Cricetulus griseus: one gene and its partners. The protein of the gene in region 3 interacts with the protein of the main gene of each other region in a pairwise test. Links are inferred from orthologs where the notes say so. Each region holds a gene or a part of one and is shown on either strand. Other genes may lie near its edges. The genes, in order: Hsd3b7, Ubash3a, Spry2 and Zdhhc17.

Region 1 (4,233 bases), on a different chromosome or scaffold from region 3:
AGAACTTGGAGGCTGGAATACCAGCCAGGCTCAGATCTGTGTAGGTAAAATGGCAGGGTCCATACCGCCCAGTCAGACACCACAGCTCCCACGTCAGAGGGCAGCCATGTCTCTTCCTCCAGGCTCTGAAGGCTCAGGACCTGAGTATGTACCACAGTGGCCTCCAGTCCCTGGCCCTGCCATCACCGGGCTGAACCCTCCAAGGTCTGCACCCAGAGAATAGTGCGGGCCTTGCTCTCTTCCCATGAGAAGAGGGGCTTGTAGCCAAAATGGCGCTGTGCCTTGTTGGTACTGACAGTAAAGGTGGTGTTGGCCATGGCCAGAGTGTAGGGATTCAGCAGGGGTGTGTACAGCACCAGTGGGCGGAGCAGCCACTGCAGCAGGGCATTGAGGGTAGCCAGCAGCACCAGCAGCCAGTAGGGCAGCAGTGGGTGGGTGCCTATCAGTCGAAGTCCACAGGGACCCAGAAACTCCATGTTGAAGTCCTCATAGCTCTTATAAGGTGATTTGTCATAGCAGAAGTACACCTGGCCCCCCATGAGTGCCGCCCGCTGCTCCAGCTCTCGGGCCACCAGCACGTGCATCCAAGCCACATTGCCTACCAGTAGGGAGGGAGGTAGATATGCCACTGAGGGCCCTTGGTCCAGTCCCCTATTTGGCCCCATGTAGATGCCACCCAAACCTCACTACTGTCTGGACAAGGTAGCCAGCAGCCTTCCTGGATGTCCTGTACAGACGCTGCCCTTCTCTTTCTTTGGAGAACTGTCAGGCTCAGCATAACCTATGACATATTTTTTATGTCAGCCCTCCCAACTGACAAGGATACTTTCTCTTTTGCACCCATGCAGAAAATGCCCACATGATCACTGTCTGCCTGGGCCCTCACGGAGCCAGGGCGACACTCATGACTCTGCCACCTTGAGAGACAGACCTCTTGCCCTGCTCTCCGTCCCCCCTTGCCCTTGCCCTGTCCTTACCAACATACACCCGACCGTGCTCCACAGAAGCTGGGATGGCCCGAAACAGCCGACCCCCAAAACGTAGGCCCTGGTTGTAGAAGTCTCTCATGATCTGATGACCTTCACCATAGATGCCCGTGGGTCGAAGGGCACATGTCACTAGGGGTAGCCCTCCGTTGACCTGATAACAAAGGGAAAATGTTGGAGTGTACCCCTCTACCCTGGCCACCATGCAGTGGAGATGGAGTCAAAGAAACCTGGGGGTCAGTCTTCAGCACCCCAAGCCCTGTCTTTGCAGTATACCTTCCTCCCATTGGCCTCCAGGACCAGCTGCTCAGCAAGCGCTTTGCTGCAAGGATAGGGGTGCCTGTGGACTGCCTCATATGGGGTGTCTTCATTGCCCCTAGGCGGGGAGAAAAAAGACTCAGTGCTGGAAGGAAGTGGACTCTGAAATTAAGTGGGGCTAAGCTTACCTGTAGAAGGGGTGGCCCTTGACATTAGGCCCCACAACTTCCATGCTGCTTGTGTAGATCAGGAACTGAGTTCCAGTCCGTATACAAGCCTCAATCACATTCTGTGTGCCTGTGAAGGGGACAAATGCAAGCTGTGTCTTCCTGACTCGGCCTCTTTTTCTGCTCCACCCAGTGTCTAAGGAGAACCACAAGTCAGGAGAGGATGGGACAGCAGTGATGGGGTTGGGTTATCAGCAGGACAGGCTCAGACAGGAAACTCACAGGATGGCCACAGATTAAGGGACGACCGGTGTCACACAAAAGAACAGGAAGGTAGCGCCTCACCCTGCACGTTCACTTGGTGGATGGTCTTTGGACTGGCCTTCCCAAACACATCCACCAGCCCAGCTGTGTGGATGACCACGTGAGATCCCGCCACGGCAGCTGTCACCTGGTGGGCTTGAGTCACATCCCCTTGGATGGCAGTCACCTGCACAGGCCCTGGTGGAGAGGCCCCAGGCAGTGTCAGAGCTGGGGCCTTGACCTGCAGCTGAGTTCGGCCTGCAGCTGAGTTCAGCCTGCATGCCCCCAGGGGCCACGTGCTCCCAGTGACTCACCCATCCCAGCTGTGTGAGCTGGAAAACAGACACAGGATCATCTTTTCCACAAGTGCAAGCATCCCAGTTCAGGGAGGGATGGAGCAACACCCCCTCCTCATGCTCCTGCCCGACCTCAGTCACCTGTTTGCAGCTCCTCTAGCCAGGGACTCAGGTGCAGGTCAAAGACACGCAGCTCCCGGAGCCTGGGCTCCCGTTCCAGCAGCATTCGAACAATATGCTCCCCCAGGAAGCCACAGCCACCTGTGACTAGGTATACCAGTGTTGGCACCTGTGCAGATTCTGCCATGCCCAGCTGTGGGAAGAGAATTTCCCTCACTGGAATTGCCTGATACCACCTGCTCCAACTGTGTTATTCCTAGAAGAGATCTAGTAGGTGGGGCAACGATATGAAAGAGGCCGAGTTCTAGCTGTGGGTTGCAGTTGTGTGCTTGTAGCAATCAGGCTGCCTGCCCTCTTGACCCTAACCGCTGAGTCACTAGGATTGGATGCAGAAAGGGTTAGGGACTGAGGTGGATGGAAAAAATGACTGGGGATACTAAAGGTGGAAAACAGCAGAGCTGGATAGAAAGGGTATAGAGAGGCAGGAAGAGCTGAGACTAAGAGAGGGGCCACCTGGAGCGCAGTATCATCTGCCTACCTGTGGCTAGTCCCAGGGAGTCCAAACTGGCCACTGGGAGAGGTTGTGTCCTGGACTGGTGGGCCAGCTAGCTGCACACAGGCTTCCTTCCTTCCGCTTGCTCCTCCCTCCTGGCCCATTCCAGGAAGGAGACCAGCCTAGCCTCCACCCCTAGGGGCGGGCAAGGAAGTTTGGAGAAGGGAATTTTTGCTAGAGTGCCCCCTGGTGGCCAGTTCACTCTGTGGCAGGCAGAGGACAGAACCTGCCCACTTGGTAATGATGTAGTTGGGGATAATGGGGTGGAAACAGGGTGACCTTGGTTTGTCCCTCCTGCTGGGTTCCCCAGTAGGCTGGAGGCCCAGCACTAGCTGTGGCTCTGGGGAGAGAGGAGGGAACCCTGATCTTGGTACAGCTCTGGCTAGCGTCCATGGGGAGACACTGGCATGGTTGTTGCTGTCCGTTAGGTGGTTTGCCCACAGCAGTACTGCTGTGTCTGTAGGCCTATTCACCCCAAACTTCAAGCCACCCATTTCCCCCTTCTCTTGATTCACCCACTATGTCAACTTGCATCCCAGCCTGCTCTTCCCAAAGATAGTGACCAAGCATTTTTGTACAATAAAGTTTAATCACAATTATAAAAATGTGGCGTTGGGTTTTCACTATTAACATTATGTACAATCCAGCCCAACAAGAAGGGCCTGCCCACCACCATCCTGGCCCACTGAGCCAGAGCCCTGAGACACCAGGGTGGGAGGGTGACCCACAGGGTCTGGCAGGAACAGATGAGGCAGGGTTCCAGGCACAGAGTTCCCAGGACTAGGGGCCAAAGGCCCCCCCAGGGGGAGAACATGGCCACTGCCCCAGAGACCCCTAAACTGGGGAGGGGTGCACATAGAGCTGAAGGGGGAAGTCCCCACTAACATGAAGCAGAGGGGGCTATTTAGCCCCCAAGAATAGCATCTATACAGGCTGGTACCCCAGGTTTCCACAGGAAACAGCTGCTGGCAGCTACAAAACATTTACAGCTTCTTCTCCGCAAAGAAAAAAAAAAAAAAATAAGAGGGTGGTTGGGCGTGGGGTACAGGGGAGTCAAAAGTTACCTCAAAGGACTGAGGCTCCCTTGCTGGGCTCAGGGCCCCTATCCCACATGTGGAGATGGGGACATGTGGGCCCTGCTGAGCCCACTAAGGCTGGGGGTGCTGGGAGCTTAGGGCACCAAGGGGGAATAAATAGGGGTGAGGGCACCAGTCCTGCCCCACCTCAGTTGAGGGAGCCACGGCAGCTTTCAGTGCCACACAGACACGGGATCTTGTTGTCCTCGAGTGGGAACTTGTAGTCGTAGGTGATCTCCTCATCCACGCCAATGGGCTGCTTGGAGTAGATCACAATCTTCTTCTGAGACTCGATGGTGATCACCTTAGCGTAGCAGTTGGGCTGCAGGAGGGGCAGTGTAAGCCGCAGCCCCCCTCACCCCTGCCCCGCCCAGCCCTGGCCCAGCCCTGAGCGCACCGTGCAGCAGTGGTTGATGAACCTGGCCAGGTTGCCGCACTTTGTGGCATCAATGATGGTATCGTGGTCCACCCGGA
Region 2 (4,193 bases), on a different chromosome or scaffold from region 3:
AGCTGTCTCACGTTCCCGCTGCATGGCTTTCCCGCCATGATGGAGTGCACACCCAAACACTCCCAGATAGACCCTTCCTTCTTTAAGTGGCTTTTATCAGGCATCTGATCTCAGCTACAGGAAAGGAAACTAACACAGAACCCAGGTCCCCATGCATACTCGAACTGCAAGCCCTCCACAGCAAGGAGTCACAGCCAAGCCCAGGATCTGCCTTTTGCTGTTTGATTTCCATGGTGGCTACTTCAGATAAGAGCAGGAGGGACTTCCCAGTTGGGTGGGGAGGAGCTCCTAAGAACAAGGACCCCCTCCCACCCCAGGAGGCTGAGGGTGACAGACAGGTGGCTGGAGTGGGAGTTCAGGAGCGTCATCTTTCCCTACACCCCTTCCGGGTGTATCCTGAGATACCTTGGGGATTCCCAACCGTCTTTAAATTCTCTTCCATCTTCAGTGACCTGAGAGTATGGTGAATTTCATATCAACAAAAACGACACCTTCCTACTTGTTTAACATAGATCATAAACAAGAACCTCTTTTATGAGTCAAATTTGGATTAAGTCAGTTTTGTTTTGGTGTGTGTGTGTGTGTGTGTGTGTGTGTGTGTGTGTGTGTGTGTGTGTGTGTGTGCTCTCACTAATGCATGAATGTTTATGCACCAGGGGTGGAACCCATGCTGGGCAGGATCTGTCTAGAGTCCTAAATCTGGCTTTTAAGTGAGAAAATCTCTAGATTCTCTCTTAATGTCTTAAGGAGAGTTTTATTACTTTCCTGGGCTGGGTGGAAATGGATGCCATTCTACTTCACTTCCACAGACACCCGGTTCCCCCCAGAGGACCCACCCAGGGAATAGAGTCCAGGTGGTGTCACCCCAGCCCCCTTAGGCCTGCAGCTCCCATCCCACTTACCAGTCTGCAGCCTCCTCCGCTGTCTTCCTCCCTGTCGCTGCTAGCGCTTTGAGCCTGCGGGTCATGAACACAGGATGGTCAAGGCCCAGTTGGTTTTTCCTTGGAAGGGGTGAGTTGTAGGAGTGAGGAAGCTACTCATCCATGCTGTGTCCTAACAGGGCCAAGCTGCGGGACATCCCAGCAGGTACCCTTATGCCAACATCTCCATCCTTCACACAGAGATTCATGCTCCAACCCTCACCCCCACTCACTCCCCTCCTATGACCTCTTCTTCCTGGGCCCCGGAGTCCTAGAACTCAAGACCTGACTTCTGTCCTCTCTTGCTTTCCTCTCTCCGCACCCTGCTACCCTAACAAAGCCAATCCTATGCACGTGTGACTGCTGAGGTCAGCTGGGACAGGCTGCACTCCTGGCACATGCTTCCCAGACACATGAAACCCCACCCCAGTTGCTCAGCAGGAAGCGTCCCTTACCCAACCACTGGGCAGACTGGTCCACATCCCTCTCCTGTGTCCCCCACTCTCAAATGCTCATTGGTGCTTTCCTCATGGCTCCATGTGTTTTATTCATTCAGGGACCTGGGATGTAAATACGTTGACTTGTATTTGGCTGAGCTGGGCCAAACAGAGCAGAGTGGGCCACACACCCAGCCATCATTAGCTGATACAGCAGTCCCCATTGGAACCCCGAGTAGTGCTGCCCAGTACTACACCCATTTGTGTGAAGAGCAGTGGGGCTGTAGCCACCCGGAGAGGCCATGACAATGAGGCCATGCCATGAGCCCTACTCTGAGCCCTGCCCAAGTAAGAGCTTTAGACCCACAGGTGTTTATTGTTTGAGCTAGCGGGGATTTTGAAGGGGAGCCCACCAGCTTGAGCAGTAAAACAGAGTGGGTCGGGGAGGCATGGGGAGCTGGCTCCTGACCTAGGCTTGCCACAGACTATTGTTTAGGCCTTGATGTTCTCATCTGCAGAGGGATGGTGAACATATCACTGATGGCTTCCTGATGGTCTGGGTTCTGTTCCCCATTTAGTGACAACAAAGCCCTGATATTGGGAGCAGACTGGACTAGCTTCAATACCCTGTCCTCCACAGTGGCCAGAGTCTTTTTTATCTCATCGAAGGAGCGTTTGGCTCACTCCCCCAGCCCCCACCAGGCCTGGGCTCCCTGAAGCATACTTCTTACTTATGTCTTTCTGGGAATAAGGACTACAGCTAAGAAGCGGGTTTGCAATGGATGATGGGACCACGGTCAGCAGCATCTGTGCCCTCTGAGCCTGGGGACTTGGATGAGCCAAGTGGTGCTGAGCCCCACTGTCTCTGGAATTTCTCACTCATTCTCTTGTCACCTGAACATTCCAGAAACTTTCCCTAGAGACAAATGGCTTTCCCTGGGCTGCTTAGAAACTCGGATGGTAGTTCTCTCAGGGGGTCCTATCCGTGGAGACTCAAATATCAGAGTCACATACCTTGAACTGTCTGTCACTTTTGGTGTCACTGATTGGCAGGAGAATTGGCATCTGCCCTCACTCTCCTCCAAACCCCACAAGTGGGCCTCCAGAGACCCACATGGCTTCTATGTTTCAACTCTATCAGTCAGGTAGAAGAGATGATCTTTCAAAGGTCAAGACCATTCCATGTATAAACAGGAGGAAGGGGCCTCTTTGGAGACACCATCTCACACTAGTGTGACCGCTTTAGCAGGAAGTCAGCAACACTTGCTTATCCAGGGGGTGGCAGGTGGAGCAGAGGGGTCTAACCAGGCAGGGAAGCCGGGCTGTAGGGCCCTGGCAGCTGCAAGTACTCACGCGATATGTGCGGGGAAACCCATGGTCAGGAGGGGGTCCAGGAGCAAGGAGGTGTTGCGGCCCTTGAGCTTGTTGGAGACCTTGGCATAGAGCTGGGTCTCCCCCGCAGCCATGTCTTCCTGCTTGCCGGGCAAGAGGAGCCTGCCTGCTCACTGCAAGGCACAGATAAAGTGAGAGCAGAGAAGGAGGCAGGCTGAGGCTGTGAAGAAAAACCTCAAGGCTTTTTTGATCTTTCTGACACAAGCGAATATCCTGTTTGCACAATGATTGGGCTTGAATTCTCCTTGTGCGTCCACAGCAGCGTCTTCTAAATCCACCTGCTTCCATGGGGGGGGGGGGGGAGAGGGACTGCCCTGAAGCTCATCACTGGGGTTTGCTGGGTACTTGGGGAGCTTGAAGAGGAGGAACACCTGAGAAGGCTGAGGGAGCAGGCTTCTCTCGAGGGTTCTGCTGGCATCCACCCTGGACCTTAGCCTCCTTAGTCTGCATTCAAGACACTGAAATTCACTCTTTGCATGGTCCCTGCTTGCTCTAAAATCTAGAAAACCTAGTCTTTTTTAGTTTTTATTGACCTTTTTTTTTCCCCAAGAACTTTTAAAGTCCAGTGGTATGTGTGCAGCATGAGGAATTTCCATACAGTGAGCACATTCTCTGACCCAGGACTGATGAAACAAGGGTGTAAAACCTAGGGCATTTTAGTTTTACACCCCTCTCTAAAGGGACAGTTGACAGTGTCTGGAGACATTTGTGGTTGTCAAAAATCTGGGAGGGGTGGGACATGTGGCAACTAGAGGATGTCAACCACAGCTGTCATCAGCTGCACAGCACCCAGGACAGTCTACAGCAAAGGGTGAGCTTGTCTCGTGTGAGCGACGCAGGTTAAGAGACCCCATTCCATGGATGTCAATAAGGAGTACTCTGCACCCCAGGAAGCCTCTGGTAGTGGATTAGTATTTTTCCCTGGTGTAAGAAGGGACTTTGAGAGCCCATCCCATGTGAAGGGATACACTCTGGCCCTGGACACATGGGGAAGGGCCCAGGCCCAGCACAGGAAGATTTGGTGGACTTTGCAGAGCCCCTGTTGAGGGCCCTACCCTGCCTGGGGAGTGGTGGGTGGATGGGGTGGGGGGTAGGTTGGGTGGGGGGAGGAGGGATGGGGGTGAGGAAAGGGAGAGGGAGAAGGGACTTACATGTGAAACAAGCTTGTTCCCTAACTTGAACTAAAAAAAAAAAAAAAAAAAAGAGACCCCGTTCCAGAACTTTCCATTCCCTAGAGGACCTGCCCCACCTTGCCTCTTCTTGTGGGTGCCCCTCCCCTACAGATCTACTTTAATTTCAAGTCTCATGCTACTAGAACACTGTAACACATGCTATGTCATGACACACTTTTCCTTTCTTTCCTTCTTCCTTTCTGCCTGCCTTCCTTCTTCCTTCCTTCCTTCCTTCCTTCCTTCCTTCCTTCCTTCCTTCCTGCCTGCCTGCC
Region 3 (4,009 bases):
GAGGTTAAATACCTTCCAGATTTTGTAACAGGTTTAAATTTGTCAGGATCCTTTTTACACTAAACACCAACAAATGCCTACAACAGCTTCGGTTTAAGTCAGCACCGAGAGTTGTGTAATCAGTATCTTTTGCCAGTCCCATATGATATAAAAGTACATTCTGAGAACAATTAAGGCTGCATTTTTAAGTAAGTACAGTGGTACAAAGTTACAGAATTGAAGTCATTTCGATTCCCATCAGCTATCACGTGAAAACAAACTCGTAAGACCAAAACGTATTTTCCACTACTCGAGAATTAAATATTCCACAGACCTATGAGTCTAGCCTTATATCCTCAATCCCAAGTCATTCTCCCTGTTTAATAAAGCATGCAAAAATGATGTTATCTTCTCGTTTTGAAAAATACCCAGAAACACAAAAGCAAGTAACAGCAATAGGAAAGGTTTTAAAAATCCTAAGTGTCACGGTTGAAACCTATCATTTCGTCAAGGGATCGCTTAAATTACAGTCATTCTTCGGTTTAAAAAGTACCACCCCTCTCCCAGGCCCTCATAAAAATACCAAAGAAAATAAGCAAAAGCGGACTTTTAATCCAACCTTGGCTTTTTGGAAAAGGGCAGCGAACAAGGCAGGTGACAAACGCCTCCTAATTCAGAACTAGACAGAGCTGGAAACCGGATCTGCTCACCTCCAACAGCAAGGTACACAAGGCTGTTCTTTGCTTTCACTGGGTTTATCGGCTCTATCTGCGCCCCCACACAGTCCGCAGCAGGTGGGACTCAGCCAGAACCCCGGGGACTTTTCTCCTCCAGGCGGACTGACGCTGTCTAGGGCCAGCCCGGCCCCTCCTGCGAGCAATCCCCTGAAGCTCAGGCAGGCAGGGGGCGCGGGCGCCTCCGAAGGGGACGTGTCGTGAAATGCACGAGCACACTTCCCCCTCCTCCGCACCCCCTCAGCTAAAATTTCCCCCAACCCAAGAGAACTGCCACCCAGCCCCAAGAGGGGGTGCCACTCCAACACGCCCACCCCCGCAGCAAGGTCACCACAAGGTGTTTCTGCGAAGGCCCTCAAAACGCTTGTCCCCACAAGTTCCCAAATCCGACGCCCCGAGGAAGAGAGCCGGGTCGGGACGCACAGCTTGCACAGAAGTCTATGTACCCACGCTCCCAGAGAGACTCCAGCCAGCGTGCAATGACCGAAGAGAGCACCGCCTGCAATCTGCACACGCCTACCTCCTTTTAGACCAAGAAAAAAGATTTATTTCTTAAAACGAAAAAAAAAAAAAAGAAAAAGCTTTATCTAGAGCCCCACTGGACACGCCAGGCGTGCAGGCCTCCGACCCCTGAGATCGGGAACTTCCCGTGAAGACTGCCCGTGAAAAGTAGCATCTTTTGGAAGAAAAAAAAAAAAAGTGATTTCTGCCGATCCCTGGCGGCCTCCTTCGCGGGCCGCCTCCACCCCCTGCGCTCTCGCAGTTCCTCTCCCTCCCCCTCTGAGTGCTTTGAAACCCCCATTAAGAACAGTGTGTGATCAGACTAAGGATTAGGGGGAAAGGACTTCAGCACTAGGGTGGGGCAAACCGACACAGAAACCCCTTTGTAAAAAAGGCGTTAAGACTCCAAATCTCAAAAACAGTAACACAAAAGAGGGAGGGGGGAAACTAGTTTTTTTTGCCACCTACTTTCAGGTAATGGAAAACGATCGCGACCACTTAATAACTCTCTTCCTGTGCTAGGTCAGCCCAAGCATCAAAAAAAGAAAAAGAAAAAAGAAAAAAAAAGCATGACCCAGGCCGACCACGAAGAACGGAAAAAAGAGAAAGCCGCACTTCCGAACCGCAGAGACGCGGCGCCAGGCTGGGCGACGCTCCCACCCGCACCGGGCTAGACTGTCCACACCGGGCAGAGGCGGGGACTCCCTCCGCCTGGCAGCCTACCCTCGGCTTGTCCGCCGAGTCTTCTGCTCCGGTGCGGTGGTGAGATGAGAAGCCCAGTACCCCAGCCCCACAGGCGCCCCCCGCCGCAGGATCGGCTTCCCCAGAACTTGGCCTTCCACCGAAAGGAGGAACAGGTTAGCAGCGTAAACGAGCCTGCAACAGCGATCAGGAAAAGCAGGGATCTCGGCGACTAAACCGCCTCCAAAGCAGGGTAGGAGCAGAACGCAGTGGAGCGGTCCTCCTCCCCAAAGCCCTTAGGGAGCGCGGTGTCGCGGAGTGGGGACACTGCACCGGCGCACCCTGCAGCCCGGCGGTGACTGAACCCCTGTCCTAGGCGAAGCAGATCCGCGGGGCAGCTCCCGATCCTCCCTGGAAGCCTACGGGTTTAGGGGAAAGAGGAACCCGTACCCCACTCGCGGCGGACTGTGGTTCCAGCAGGGAAAAAGCCAAACGCTCCTCACCGTGATCGCGGCTTTGCACCAACCCCTCTCCCTTGGACTCTCTTCTTTCTGCGATGTGCAAAGTAAATCCAGTCCCGATGCAAACTTTTTCCTTCTTTCCGAACTCTGCTTCAGTCCAACTTCCAAGTAATCGGTGGCAGGAGAAAAACAACCAGGGGAAAATTTGGAACCCAATCCTCCACCGTTGGAACCCTCTCGGATTCCGGGCTAGAGAGAGAGAGAGAGATGACCTCCCTTCCAGAAGCGCACGGAGTATTTCCTCTTTTTTTTCTTTCTTTTTTTTTTTTTTCTCAATGAACAAGAAGCCGAAGCGCCGTGGTTGGCGAAGTCTCTTTTTTCCTGGCCGATGAGAGAAAGAGAGGCGAACACGGCCTTACAAAGAACCTAAGGCCAGCTCGCCCAGTCCTGGGGGCCCGGGGCTGCTTCGGAGCGGAGGCTGGCGCGGGGCCGCGGGCCGGGCCGGGCGGGCGCGCGCGGGGCCTGGGCGCTGCGCGCTCCGCCGGCCCCCTCCGCTCGCACTGCGGCGCGCAGCTCTGGCTCGTGCAGACTGGGCGTTGCGGAGGCGCGGCGGCGAGGCCGAGGCGGGGGCGGGGTGCGCAGGGGAGGAGATGGTGGGGGAGGAGGGTCTGGGCCCGGCCGGGCCGGGGCCGGGGCCGGGCCGGGCTGGGGCTGGGGCTGGGGCCTGGGGGGGCGAGCCGCTGGCCTGCGCCCTCGCCTTTCCGGAGGAGGCAGGGAGCTCTGCAGCGGCCGCGGCAGCAGTAAATGGCGTCATGTGGATCCGAGGCGGAACAGAGCAGTTGTTGTCCCAGAGGATATATCGCATCCGGTCCCAGCTCATTGGCTCGGCGGGGCTACATTCACTCACACTCCAGCGCCCGCCAGCGCTCCGAGCCGCAGGAGGCATTCAAAAGGGCAACCGCGCCGCCCCGCGCGTCCCCAGTCGCTCCTGCAGCCCGGGCGCCGTCACGCGGGGCCGCTGCGGCCACCGCGAGGTCAGTTTATCTAGTTTCAAGGAAACACTGACCTTAAGGCTCCCCCCCCCCCCGCCCCGCCCGCTCGCTCGCTCGCCCACCCCCGGAGGCCACGAGCACCAGCCGGAGGCCAGGCTCACTTAGGGAACTTTCTCCCTCGCCGCCCGGAGACCAGAGGGGACGTTGCAAAAACTAACCCGGCCGCACGGTGCGAGCGTGAAAAGCCACTTGCGGCTTTTTAAAAGATTCGATTCGGGAATCCATTTCGGATCTACCTCTTCGCCTCCTTCGCCCGCCCCACCCCCTCCAATGCCCAGGGGGGCGAAGAGGGTGGGGGGAGCGGGAGAGGGAGGGAAAGGGGAGCGGGAAGTGAGGTGGGAGGGCTATTGGTTTATTCTTTGTCTACTGGATTAACCCGATTATACACCGGGCACCAGCACAAACCGCCTCCCCCACCTCCGAGCCTTGTACGGCAGGAACGGAATGCAGATTCGGGTTTCAAGTCCCTTCTGCTCTGGCTGGGATTGGCTTTTGATTGTGTGGACGTGTAGTTTGTTAGAATTTCATTTTTAAGAGGGATTATCTATAGATGGAGGCCTTTTGAAGACTTTTTTGGGCATTGTTTTTGCTCGACTCAGAA
Region 4 (4,182 bases), on a different chromosome or scaffold from region 3:
AAAAAAAAAAAAAAAAAAAAAGCAAAAAGCGTCAGGGTAAGGAGATGCGGCCGGAATATTCCAATCAAAGGATTCTGTCCTTGTTGACTGGGGGAAAGATTGGCGCTGTAAACGGAGAACTCGAAATTCTGTTTAGGTTTGCATGATTCCTGGTTTCTGCCGGGACTAGAAGAATGAAAATCGGTCCGTGAAGGAAGGAAAAGCCGTGCTGAGAGGACACTCATGGGTACTGCCTCTTTCCTCTCACCAGAAGCAGCTATAAAACCGCATAGTCATCCTTTTCTGAGAGATTACTGCTCTTTTACCAACGAATATAAGTCTGCTTTGTCATGTGCATTTGTTACTGGGAGCGCCCAGTCATTAAATTGTCCTGGGCTCAGGATCGCATCCAATGCCTTGCTATTCCCGGTTTTTCCTCACCTCCTCAGAATCGAGGTCCAATCCAGAACCGATCCCAGCTCTCCCTAGACCCTCCTCGGATTCTTTTGGCGGGAAGCTAAACCTTACAAAGGGGGAATGGGGGGAGTCCTCCTCCATCTCTATTCTTTATTCCTCTACCGTGCCTTCCTCCCGTTTTACAAACAAATCTGGTTTTATTCGATTGCAGGATTCGATTCCTGGTGAACTGATTTGCCTTTAACTGGTTACTATCAGGATCTCCAATCGGTCGGGTTTCTTAATCGCTCTCTGCTGAATGTGCCCTGGAGCGGTAGAGATTCACAATCCCTCGTAGCCCAAACCAGAAACAAATCCAATCTAGAATCCTTCCACCAGCCCCCCTCCCAGCCCTAATATCCTCTTAAAGATGGCTTTAGTCATTTTTATCTAGGTCACACTCCGGTGCTTTCACATCTGAATTCCTAGGTTATATTAAAATGTAGCAGATGGGGGGGGGGGATGAGTGGGGCTTTGACCTTGTAAAACAATGATTTAGAAAGGCACTAGCTCAATGCCAAAGAGGGCAAGACGGGATCACATAACAAAAAGCTTTCCCAAGAAGCCAGGTTTTGTCCTTGTTCCTTCGGGTGTCCCCGAGGCACAGGTAGAGATTAGAGAGGCAAACGCCCGAGGCCCCCCGAGCTTCCCTGGGAGGGGTCCCGGCCCTGCACTGCCCAGCTCTGGGACCAGGTCCTTCCTCTAGCCGCCTTTCCCGGGTGACCCGAGCGGACCAGCATCGGTCTGCGACCGGGACCCGCCCCCGGATCGCGACGCCCACGCCCAGCGCTGTCCGTTGTCCCGGCGCAGTGCAGCAGAGCTCTCACACTCCCGCCCCGGCCCGGACCGCGCACGCGCGTCGGGACCCGCGCCCGCCGCGGAGGGAGGGGCTGAGGGGGCGTCCCGGGGGCTTTGGGCGAGGGGGAGGAGGAGGAAAAGGAGGAGGAGGCGGCGGCCGCGTCGCCCTCGTCGGGGCTCGCGCTCGCCCTCCGCCTTTGCCGAGCCCCGCGAGGCTGAAACGCTTTCTCCCGGCATGCAGCGGGAGGAGGGATTTAACACCAAGATGGCGGACGGCCCGGATGAGTACGATACCGAAACGGGCTGCGTGCCCCTTCTTCACCCCGAGGTGAGGGGCCGCGACGAGCGCCTGGTCCCGGGCCCTGGGTCCCGCCGTCCTCGCTCCCTCAGGCTGGCCAAGGGCGGAGGCCGAAGGCGTCCGCGAGGGGGTCCGCGCGGAACCCGGGGAGGGAGGCTGGAGGAGGGAGTCCAGGCCCGAGCGCGGTGGCGAGCGGATAACGGGGGAGGAGATAGCGGGGCGGGCCCGGCCGGGGCGGGCTCTGGGACGCCGTCCCTGGCGGTGCCTGGAGGACAGAGGTGGAGATGTGGATGGGTCTGCTAGGTCGCCGCGCTGCCGGCGGGTGCAGAGGCGACGGGGGGGCCTGCTGACACTTTGGAACCTGCGCTGAAGCCCCTGGTCTCGCTCCAAGCCTTCCCAGGGCGAGCAGCGAGCGGATGTGCTTTGCATTGCTCTCCTCGTTCGTGGTGGGTGGGTGGGTGACACTGCCTTCCCCATCACTTCACTCCTGGTGGGGTCAATTGTAGTTTCTTGGGCAAAGTGATGTCCTTCCAGGATAAGTCAGAGCAACCAACTCGCCGCTCAGGACGTCGGGTTCGGTGGTTTTGAGTGTTTGCCCTTAAGCCATTAAAATTAAAACAAAAACAAAGAGCGGTCAGAATTTTCGGGATAACCCCCCCCCCCCGGTCCACACACACTGGTCACACACACACACACACACACACACACACAGGTACGTTAGCTTGTCAGAGTACAGCTGTTTCAGGACCCGGGTCTGTGTCGGGGAGGATGGATAGACAGTGCAACACGTTTCCCATCGTTTCTTTTGTATCTTCTTATCCAAGCGAATATCGGCCACGTTCTGTAGCTGTTTACCTCCCCGTTTGTGGCCGATTTGTGTTTAGCAAAGACCTCGAAGCAAATGTGTATTCATTCGGTTTTAACGGTGCACGGTGAGATGCGGGGAAGGGAGGAAAGAGGAGCGCTTCTCCCTGTAGAATTCAGGTCGTGTCTTGAGGTTGAATATTGTGCACAGATCTGTGGTGTTCACTGCCGGGCCAACAAAGGTGGTTACTTGGCTTGAAATTGATTTTCTTTCTGGATTTTTGTATCTTGAGAAAACTGTGAATAACAAGGACCACTTTCTCATATGTTCACTCTCCGTCATCAGTCATCATCTCATTCATAACTTCATTACACCCAAAACTAGACAGCTTCTTAGAAATACGTGCCCGGAGAAGTCTCATTAAAAAAAAGTTACTTTGGGCTTCTGACAGAACTATGCAGTAAGAATAAATTTTTTTTTTTAAATGAAGTGGTAGGGGCTGGAGAGATGGCTCAGTGGTTGAGAGCACTGGCTGCTCTTCCAGAGGTCCTGCATTCAATTCCCAGAAACCACATGGTTGCTCACACCTGTCTTAACTCCGGTTCTGGGGGATCTGACACCCCTCACACAGACATACATGCAGGCAAAACACCAGTGCACATGAAGTAAAATAAACAAATCATTAAAAAATGGAAGTGGTAACAATCTTAGAATTGGCATTAGAGACATTTCGTTTGGTTTACACTTAAGCCCTAAAAATATGTCCAGAAAGTTTTGAGACATTTTGCAATTGTGGTTAAGGAATATTTCTATTCATCTGTTCCTGTGTGTATGTTTCAAGCACTTAAAGTGCCCTAAGTATTTTAGGACAGTTGGTGAAGGTGGAGGGAGGGTGATTAGGAATTCAGAACTAGCCCAAACAGTATAAGGAGTTGGAGGCCAGCTTGGGCTAAATGATACCCTGTCTCCAAAAACCAGACCAAACTGTAAACAAAACAAAAAGGTGTTGCTTTGTAAAAGTGTGTTGTTTGTTACTCTAAACATAATTTTGCAGGGTGTGGTAGTGCACGCCCAGTATTTGGGAGGCAGAGTCAGGAATATCTCTGAGTAAGATATGGTCTACATAGCAAGTTCCAGGCTATCCAGGATTACATAGTGAGACTATCTCAGAAACTTTTTGGTTTTTCGAGGCAGGATTTGTCTGTGTAACAGTCTTGACTGCCCTTGCTTTGTAGACCAGGCTGGTCTTGAATTCACCGAGATCTGCCTGCCTCCCCATGTACTGGGGTTACAGGCATGCACCACCACAGCCTGGCAAACTTTTTTTTTTTTTTAACTTGCTAATAAGTTTAGAGATTGCTTGATATGATAGAGAGCTTGAAGTTTAGGTGTCATCAGTCTATTATTTAATAGATGGTATATTACTAGAAAGTCAACTTCCCTCTTGTTCAGAGTTGAAATTGGTATGATATATGTTCCTTTTACCCTGTAAGCACAAGGTCTAGTAGTTTAAATTCTCGAACTCTGGGGACTGACTGAAGTCGTCATTTTTTTCTGTGGTTAGTTTCTTGCACCTGCTGTGGACTTGGTATTACTCTGCTCCTTAGAGTGTGTTAGGGGCAGAACAGGGGTCTGTTACTTCTCTGAGTGTGTGAAATTGGGATGATGATGAAGATGATAACTACACTTTACTAATGGCTCGTTAAGGAGGTTACATGAGATAATGGAGAACACAGGCTTTGGGGCCAGAGTGATTGGGATTACAATTCTGCTGCTTCTGTTTTATCTTTTCCTTCTCCTCTTTCTCCTTCTCTCCCTCTTTCAGACAACCCTGATTCTATCTATC

What was found.
Region 1: the proteins of Spry2 (region 3) and Hsd3b7 interact in binary tests that used the Homo sapiens proteins (3 or more experiments, as listed by UniProt). The two-hybrid records come from large-scale screens. The link is inferred for Cricetulus griseus from reciprocal best matches to the Homo sapiens genes SPRY2 and HSD3B7.
Region 2: the proteins of Spry2 (region 3) and Ubash3a interact in binary tests that used the Homo sapiens proteins (3 or more experiments, as listed by UniProt). The two-hybrid records come from large-scale screens. The link is inferred for Cricetulus griseus from reciprocal best matches to the Homo sapiens genes SPRY2 and UBASH3A.
Region 4: the proteins of Spry2 (region 3) and Zdhhc17 interact in binary tests that used the Homo sapiens proteins (3 or more experiments, as listed by UniProt). The link is inferred for Cricetulus griseus from reciprocal best matches to the Homo sapiens genes SPRY2 and ZDHHC17.

What each region holds. Positions count from the first base shown.
Region 1 is NC_048596.1:72,969,185-72,973,417, forward strand, and holds the start of Hsd3b7 (3 beta-hydroxysteroid dehydrogenase type 7), read right to left. Parts: upstream 2,817-4,233; 5' UTR 2,669-2,816; intron 2,324-2,668; 5' UTR 2,318-2,323; coding exon 2,152-2,317; intron 1,913-2,151; coding exon 1,757-1,912; intron 1,542-1,756; coding exon 1,433-1,541; intron 1,363-1,432; coding exon 1,263-1,362; intron 1,141-1,262; coding exon 978-1,140; intron 599-977; coding exon 183-598; 3' UTR 1-182. Other genes in the region: histone-lysine N-methyltransferase SETD1A, read right to left, coding at 3,908-4,081, 4,157-4,233. UniProt on the Homo sapiens protein: The 3-beta-HSD enzymatic system plays a crucial role in the biosynthesis of all classes of hormonal steroids. HSD VII is active against four 7-alpha-hydroxylated sterols. Does not metabolize several different C(19/21) steroids as substrates.
Region 2 is NW_023276806.1:259,573,567-259,577,759, reverse strand, and holds the start of Ubash3a (ubiquitin-associated and SH3 domain-containing protein A), read right to left. Parts: upstream 2,824-4,193; coding exon 2,711-2,823; intron 957-2,710; coding exon 903-956; intron 1-902. UniProt on the Homo sapiens protein: Interferes with CBL-mediated down-regulation and degradation of receptor-type tyrosine kinases. Promotes accumulation of activated target receptors, such as T-cell receptors, EGFR and PDGFRB, on the cell surface.
Region 3 is NW_023276807.1:257,384,623-257,388,631, forward strand, and holds the start of Spry2 (protein sprouty homolog 2), read right to left. Parts: upstream 2,822-4,009; 5' UTR 2,399-2,821; intron 1-2,398.
Region 4 is NW_023276806.1:144,512,826-144,517,007, forward strand, and holds the start of Zdhhc17 (palmitoyltransferase ZDHHC17), read left to right. Parts: upstream 1-1,361; 5' UTR 1,362-1,468; coding exon 1,469-1,561; intron 1,562-4,182. UniProt on the Homo sapiens protein: Palmitoyltransferase that catalyzes the addition of palmitate onto various protein substrates and is involved in a variety of cellular processes.